Oryzias latipes: one gene and its partner. The protein of the gene in region 2 interacts with the protein of the main gene of each other region in a biochemical or structural test. Links are inferred from orthologs where the notes say so. Each region holds a gene or a part of one and is shown on either strand. Other genes may lie near its edges.

The links. The genes of interacting proteins can lie anywhere in the genome.
Region 1: the proteins of upf2 (region 2) and regulator of nonsense transcripts 3A form a complex in vitro, tested with the Homo sapiens proteins (2 studies listed by IntAct, with this or other methods). The link is inferred for Oryzias latipes from reciprocal best matches to the Homo sapiens genes UPF2 and UPF3A.

Annotation. Positions count from the first base shown.
Region 1 is NC_019879.2:7,277,905-7,282,280, forward strand, and holds the start of regulator of nonsense transcripts 3A, read right to left. Parts: upstream 2,856-4,376; 5' UTR 2,807-2,855; coding exon 2,669-2,806; intron 1,079-2,668; coding exon 972-1,078; intron 872-971; coding exon 765-871; intron 613-764; coding exon 514-612; intron 1-513. UniProt on the Homo sapiens protein: Involved in nonsense-mediated decay (NMD) of mRNAs containing premature stop codons by associating with the nuclear exon junction complex (EJC) and serving as link between the EJC core and NMD machinery.
Region 2 is NC_019881.2:22,252,990-22,256,636, reverse strand, and holds part of upf2 (regulator of nonsense transcripts 2), read right to left. Parts: intron 1,737-3,647; coding exon 1,588-1,736; intron 549-1,587; coding exon 441-548; intron 375-440; coding exon 273-374; intron 193-272; coding exon 19-192; intron 1-18. UniProt on the Homo sapiens protein: Involved in nonsense-mediated decay (NMD) of mRNAs containing premature stop codons by associating with the nuclear exon junction complex (EJC).

The sequences.
Region 1 (4,376 bases), on a different chromosome or scaffold from region 2:
GTGGATCTTAAAAAAATATTGGAAGTACATCAAACAATGATAAATATTTTTGTGCTTTTATTTCTGATGTGTACTACAGTTTTTTTTTTTTTTCCTGGAGACTATGTGTTTTCTTGGAGTGTGAAAACTCGCATTGTGGGGAAAAACATGCTAGCTAAAGAGACCTGGCAACAATGCTTCATTTGGATGATGGATTTACTAAACTCATAAATCAGGAAATGTATTTTAGATGCATATCTGCATCAGAAAGGAATTTTCAACAATGGAAGGTGAGACTGAAAGACGGACATACTTGAGCAAAATTTGTACTTTTTGGTCTTCCATCACTCAAAAACAAATATATATTGCTCTTAGTTTACATTTTTTTTAAAGAAAAACATTCACATTTTAGATTTCTTACTTTAGCAACAATATATTTGTCTTAAATATAAAAAACTCACACAGACGTATTTATATGCAGCAATTAGCAAGAACATATTAGAAATAGCTAAATTCACAAGAACATTTTAGTACCTTCTTCAATGCTTCCAGTTTTGGCATCCTTCTTTTTCAGTTTTTTCTTGGAAATCTTCTGAAAGGGGGCAAACTCCACCACTGCAGGATATTCTTGACCTAAAAATTTTTTTTTTTAATTTGTTATTTAGCAGATAATCAAGTTAATAGTTTAACTTAAAGGCCATAAATGTGCCTACAGAGAATATTACAGTTTGTGTTTTGTTATTTGTAGTTATTATAAACAAAGTCAAAGAAATTTGAACCAATACCTTTGTTGTCGATAAAGACGTAGCCGTCAAATCGATCCCTGAACAACACGATATCCTCAGTGTTTTTAAAATTGATATATGCTCTTGAAAAAAGGTGGGGATACAGACTGCAATAAAAAAAGAAGGAAAAAAATAAAATTAAGAATATAAAACATATTTATTGAAAAAATGAGTAGTTTTTCAAACAAGTAATAAATCACAACACACCTTTGATCTGCTGAGAAGAACTCAAAGTAATCATACGATGGGAGCGGACTTAGTTGTTCTTCAAGCTGTTCTTTTGAAAGGTTAGGTGGCAGTCTTCTGATCACAACCTGTGTACAACCAGTTACTCCAAGGTTATTAACTGCTGTTCTCAATGAGTGTAAAGTCTCTCCACAAACTTTCAGAATTAACTTTATTTAAAAAAAAAAAAAAAACTATCAGTCCTGACCAAAAGCTTGACAAGTTCAAACATTTTTTTCAAATCATTACCGACTCATTTAAGCAGACTAATAAAACTAAATACTGGAACCTGTAAAAGAAAGATGCAGGATATGACATGGAATACACAATTATTTTAAATGTAGTTAAAGCTACAACAAAAGTATTTCTGTATGATACTTTTAAAAATGTATTTGGCTAGTTTTCAAAATATGTTTATCCTACTATATAACAGCATCAAAATGGGCAACAGTCAACAGACAACAAATCCTGAAGTGCAACAGGATATGCAGAAAATTAAATAACCAAAAAATAAAAAAAAGATGTTTTGAGTGACATGGAAAGATCTTTTAAGTTATTTTACTGATTTCTCACCCTTGTTTGTTTCCACATTTTAAATATTCAATTCCTGAAAACAGTCTACTGTGCCAAAAGAATAATAGAAACATGTCCTCGTCGGCCTGTTTTATTACTGCTGCCACTTAAAAATGAGTGCAGTTGTTTTTAAACAAAGCAGGTTAAATTTATTGACATGGGTTCAGAAAGCATTATGAAATAGTTAAAATAGGGGTCTGCAACTTAAAGCTCCAGACCCACATGTGGGTCTTTTACCTTTCATAGTAGCTCGCTGGCTAAAGACAAATAAAATGATAGTAATTACATCCTAAAGTGAGGGTTTGTCTGTTTGATTTATTTAAATTTGTTAGGTTTTATAAAATCACAGGTCCAGTACCTGTGATTCTATATTTTGTCTATTGCATCATAAAATAATAAAGTCATGTTCACGCACGCACACACACATACACACACACACACACACACATATATATATATATATGTCAGCAGCAGTAATAGGAGTTATAGGGAAAAGGTGCCCACCAAGGAAGACCTAGGTTATAACAAGAGAAAATGCCTTTATTGACTCATTGTTTTAAAATTTGATAGGAGTGTACTAGCGACACAGGAATGACCCTATTAGAATATATTTTATTTAAAAGAAAGACATGCAATTCTTCATCAAAATAAAAACAAAAAAACAATTTCATTTTTTTCCAATAATTTTTCTCTGACAGCTTTTAATTTTAGTCAAGCCAAATAAATAAGTGGATAAATACAATTTCAACATATTTCAACAGTAACAACGATACGAATGCAGAGCAGTGTCAAAATATGTGAAAGGGTAAAAAAGACTTTAGGTAATCCGTGAGAAAAAGCCCAAATGGCTCTTTTGGTATTAAAGGCTGCTGACTCCCACTGTTTGTTCCGTCTTTCATTTTTAAAAGATATGGAGCCACATAATGTGACATTGTTGTGAGGTAAAGATGAAATATTTGCTAAACATAGTGGAAATGATTGAAAATCGTGCATTTACAGTCTTTTTCGCTGTCCTCGGTGCTGAAATGATCAGCCACTTCCTCCATGTCTGTTGTCTTCATCAAGAGTAAACAATACGGCGCGTACCAAAACGCTGCTTCACTCACCTTTGAAAAGACCTCCTTCTTCTCTTCTTTTTGTTTGAGATGGCAACCTGGGCTCTCCTGCTCTCTTGGAATGTCCTTAAATTGTATTTCGACACTTTTCTCCGTGTCCACGGCCATTTGGTCCTTTTCAGACCTCATTTCTCTACATCTCCTACGAGCTGTGTGCTCGCGATAACTCACGAAAGTTATCGCGAGAGTACGCGTAGATCGATGTTGGATGCGGGTGTTATGTTTAATGAAAACATATATTTGAGTACTTTAGTTACATAATGATGTTATGTGTGACCTTCATTAACACTTATTTTGTAACGAGTAGAAGAAAAAGGCAAACAATAATTCAATACATATTTTGACATAAACGCTGTTCATCTCCATATGCTCCCTCTTCTTACCGCGCAGCTGGGATGATGATCTACGCGATCCGTTCGCCATCGCTTGTGATCGGATTACTGGAAACTGCGCTTCCCTCAAAGCTGGAGGACCGAATCACTGACAACCCCTGAACATCTCGAGAGGGAACTAGAGAAAACAGAACCAAAATGGAGAAACCACATATTTGTTAAAGTTTCATATGGGACAGGAATATTGATTACAAACTGGTAGAGATATTTTTGTTTTGACGAAAACATTTATTTGACAATTTTTTTTAATTATTTTTTATCAGTCTCACCATTTAAAAACGCCTGCTTCCCGCTGCTGTTCTCGGCGCGCACTCGGGGTCTCTCCGGTGTGGAAACGGAGCTCCTCAGGCTGCTGGAGAGGAGCGTGGAGCAGGTGTCCAGATCCCTGCAGACCCGCTCATTAGTGCAAATACCTGTGGACTTGGACGGAGTACAACCCATCCCTCCTCCAGAAACAAACACTCTTAGATCTAGTGGTGGAAAGACAGTCAGGAAAGGATGGTGGGATGTTGCCCCTTCAAGCAGAAGTCTCTCCTCCCCTCACATGGAAGACAGAGGACTCTTCTAAACAGACAAGAAGTTAGCCTCAGTCTCAGGAGTTAATTTGAGCGCACAAAAAGCTCAATGGTTCCCACAAATTGCTAAGGCAGCCCTGTGACCCCGAAAGGGTACATGGATTCTGCGGACACAATTTAGTATTTTGTGCACACAAATTTGCATTTTATGGCCACAATTTGGTATTTTGTGCACACAAATGAGCATTTTATGACCACAATTTTGGATTTTTTTGCACACAAATTGCGACAGACTGGCGAGCTGTCCAGGGGGTCCCCTGCCTTCACCCACAAGTTGGCGGGATAGGCTCCGGGAGCCCTGTGACCCCGAAAGGGTCAAAATGGAAGATGAATGAATGCACACGAATTTGCATTTGCGGACACAATTTAGTATTTTGTGCACACAAATTTGCATTTTATGGCCACAATTTAGTGTTTTGCACACAAATTTACATTTTGTGGCCACAATTTGGTATTTTGTGCACACCAATAAGCACTCTGATGCCACAAATTAGTAGTAAGTGCACAAATATTAGCATTTTATGGCCACAATTTGGTGTTCTGAACACAAATTTGCATTCTGATGCCACAATTTAGTATATTGTGCACACAAATTAGAATTCTGGGGCCACAATTTGGTGTTTTTGCACACAAATTTACATTTTGTGGCCATAATTTGGTATTTTGTGCACACCAATAAGCACTCTGATGCCACAATTTAGTAGTTAGTGCACAAATATTAGCATTTTATGG
Region 2 (3,647 bases):
CTGGAGCCAAACCTTTACCTGCTGCTTGTTGCCTTTGCGCGTCAGCATGACGAACTGCATGGTGTCCGAGCCCTCCGAGTCTCCCTCCATGATGCACTGCTGTCCAGATCCGCTCTTCTTCAGCTGACTCTTCAGCTGCAGCGGGATGGCCACGTCCAGCTGGTGCACCTTCACCGCCTCCCCGCTGCGCTGCTGTGGCGTCAAAATAGAGGAATCTCGTCAACGTCGCCGGTTCCCTGCGGCGCTGTTTTAGGAGTGCAATCCAGGCTTACCTGCAGGTTCTCCAGCATCATCTTATCCAGAGCCTGAATGAAGTCCTCATCTTCAGCGCACGCCACGTGCTTCAGCCCGCCGCCACGGATGGTCACTTCCTGCTGACGAGTCAAAGTGAGAGGCGGCTCTGCAGCTTCACGGCTGCTCGGAAACTGGACCCCTCTTACATTGTTCTCCTCATCAGTCTCATTTTCTTTATTGGAGTCGGTCAGATAGTCTGTGTTCTCCTCTTCCTCCTCCTCATGCTCCTCCTCCTCCTCATTTTCTGACCCTTCCTGTGATGAAAAACAGTGAAAAAGAAACACAGGAGGAATGATTTTCATCTGAAATCAAACTCTGATGCACCTCCTTTGATTTCCTGCTGTCACTAAAATAAATACTTCAAAGCGCTTAAAGCGGAGAATGAAGCTTTCATTCAACACTGGAGATAAAAGAACGAGCAAAGTTAATGAACACAGCAGCAGTTCCCTCAGCTGAACGTGCGAGCATCGCTGGACTTTGGCTCCTTCCTGGTGTTTTACTCAGAAAAATACCTTGAAGAAAAGCAAACACTGTCGCAGCCGTCGGCTCTGGAAAACACCTGCCTTCACGTCAAAAACAAAGAGAAACTTGAAAACGAATTCTTCACATTAAGAGCGTGACTCTGCACCAGCAGCTCTTCTCCAGCCTTTTTCAGCCCATCAGTGAAAACATCTGACACCAAATCACTCAACTACATATAGAAATGATCATATAATGATATATAGATACATTTTCTTTACTGATGACTGTTTTTACTTTTTTATCTTTGAGCATAAAAATGAACGTTTCCTAATTTATTACCAAACTGTGATCGATGAGACTTTTTAAAGGCGGATTCTCGAGGAGTTCGGAGGCGAAAGAAATCCCTAGGTGGAGTTGGAGACGGTAATTTTTCTGGAAATTTCACCATGGCGAGGTCAAAGGTCAACAAAACTTCAGTTGTGGCTGTAGACTTACAGTGTATGGGTGCGATTTGGGGAGTGGGAAGTTTTCTCTTCCCATATTGTGTGAAAAATCGTCAAATTTCACACTTTGCCACAAAGTGGCCGTGATGCCGTAGTGGCCATCCCATAATAATTTTTAACTTTCCTTTGGATATCCTCGACACGTGTGTTTTGGTTTCATTCTTCAATTTTGACCAACTTTCTTTGATTTGTTAACCAATCGTTTTCTTTGGTGGTTTCTCCCGATGTGATGATGATTTAAAAACTATATTTCTGGAGATGAATTCAGCGTCTCAGAGTCCAGAGTGACCGGTAGGGCGGCGAACATCTGAGGAGCGCAGGAACTCACGTCCTCCTCCTGCTCGTTCATTTCACTCTCATTTCCCGACTGCTCCTCCGTCTCAGCACCACCCTCCTCCTCATCGTCGTCGTCTTCCTCGTCCAGACCCTCGCCCTCGCTCATGGCGCTGGAGCGGCCGTCCTTCTCTGCCGCCAAACCTTAGGGAAAACACACACAAAAAAAGGGGCGTCGTTCTTCAGGTTTCATTCCTCTTTGATGACTTCCACGTTTGGACTCAGGAGGTGATGAAGAACCTCAGCTTCATGGAGCAAACGAGGGGCAGGAGCTGCAGATCAGGTACTGCTGTAGAATGTGATCCAACAAGCTGATGGGAAAAAACGGCGCCGCTGTTCGGCTCCGAAGAACCTTCTCTGCCGCCGGAGGTCCAACCTCCGGCTCTGAACAGAGACGCCTCCAAAAAAAGCTCAGAACCCGGACTTTGGAAGGTCACTTTGATATTTTTGGCGTCCGCAGTTCCGCTCCAGCTTCCGGAGGCCGCGGATCAGCTCGTCACGCTTTCTTTCCGCATTCCACGTCAACAGCTCGAGGGGGCGGAAGAAGGATGAGCTCAGCCGGACGCACCTGTAGGAGCGACCCCGCCCTGCTCCCTCAGCATTCCTGAACGCCGTGACCTCACTCCGGCACGCAGAGCTGCTCCCTCTTTCAGCCGCCTCGGTTTATTTACGACGGCTTTGAGCGTTTGATCTGGAGCTTAAAAATCAATTAAACTGCGTTTTTTCAGGCGGCGCTCATCAATCCGGACGCTCCGGAAGGTTAAAAACAGAAACCAAAACAAACGGCGTCTGAAACCGTGACGCCATGCTCCTGAGAGCAGCAGCATCATCACTAAAGTCATCCAGAAGATGAGACTCTGTTCATTTCAATAATCATCAGAAAACAGAACAGCAACAAAAAACACCACAACTTTATGAACCAAATACGGAATATTTCCATCTATAAATATAAAATCAAAAGGAAAAATGTGGTTTCAGAGGTTTCTATGTTGGTTCGCTGATATTTAGGGTTACATTTTATTCTGTTTTTTAATTAATTCTAATGTGAAATGATTGAAAAGATTAACCACTTTTTAATCACCTTCATGAATATTTTTTGTTTTAGGTGAAAATGTTACCTGACAGCCCCCTAAACTGAATGACTGTTTCAACTTCCATGTTTGTAAAACTGCAGGTCAGTTTCTGGAGATAAAACTTTCAGCTTTTTCAATAAAACCGTTTAAAGATCCGCTCAGATAAAAAAAACGTCCTTTTGGAGAGAACGTGGAGAGGAAGGGGGGCGGAGTTGTTCTGTGCCAACAGTCACAGCTTAAAGGTGAATTTGAACTCCTGCCGCTCTGCAGAAACTATGTCCTAGAAAACAACAGGTTTTTTGATTTAGGCTGAAAACAGCAGAACAGGGGTAAAAAGAAAAAAGATCAGAGGATGATGAGAGTGGAACTTTAAGATTATTCAGACCGGACCTTCAAGTCTAACGTTAAGAGTTCAGATTATTGTTCTGCTAACCCAAAACTTATAAAACGACGGAGGGAATTCTGCTTTAGGATTTTCTAATAGAGCGCAGTAACACACCATCACAATGCCACCACCATGGCTAAAGTGTGTTTGGATTGACTCCAGATATTTGGATGTCAGTCCGGATGTCCCTCTGTGTTCCTCCTTCCTCCTTCAACTTTACGGATCCACGTTGGTCCTAAAACACATCAACTCTGACCTGAACTGAGTCCAGTGAGGCCTGACCTTCTGCTTAGAGTCCTCCTTGTGTTCTTTAACCTGTAACCTGGCTGGGGAGGTTCTTCACTGCTTCAGGTTCCAGGAACTTTGGTGGAACTGAAATTTTGTTCTGATTCAACTGAATGGGGGTGGGTGTGTGTGTGTGTGTGTGTGGGGGGGGGGGGGGGGGTACGTCTTCCACAGACTGGAAGGAGAATCTCTCCAGATCAGATCAACAAACCAGATCGGCCCACGACCTTCACCACCAGAGGAGCATCTGATGACATGATGCCAAAACAAGGAGCTTCTCTAAGCTCCTCCTTGACCTTCATGTGATCACCC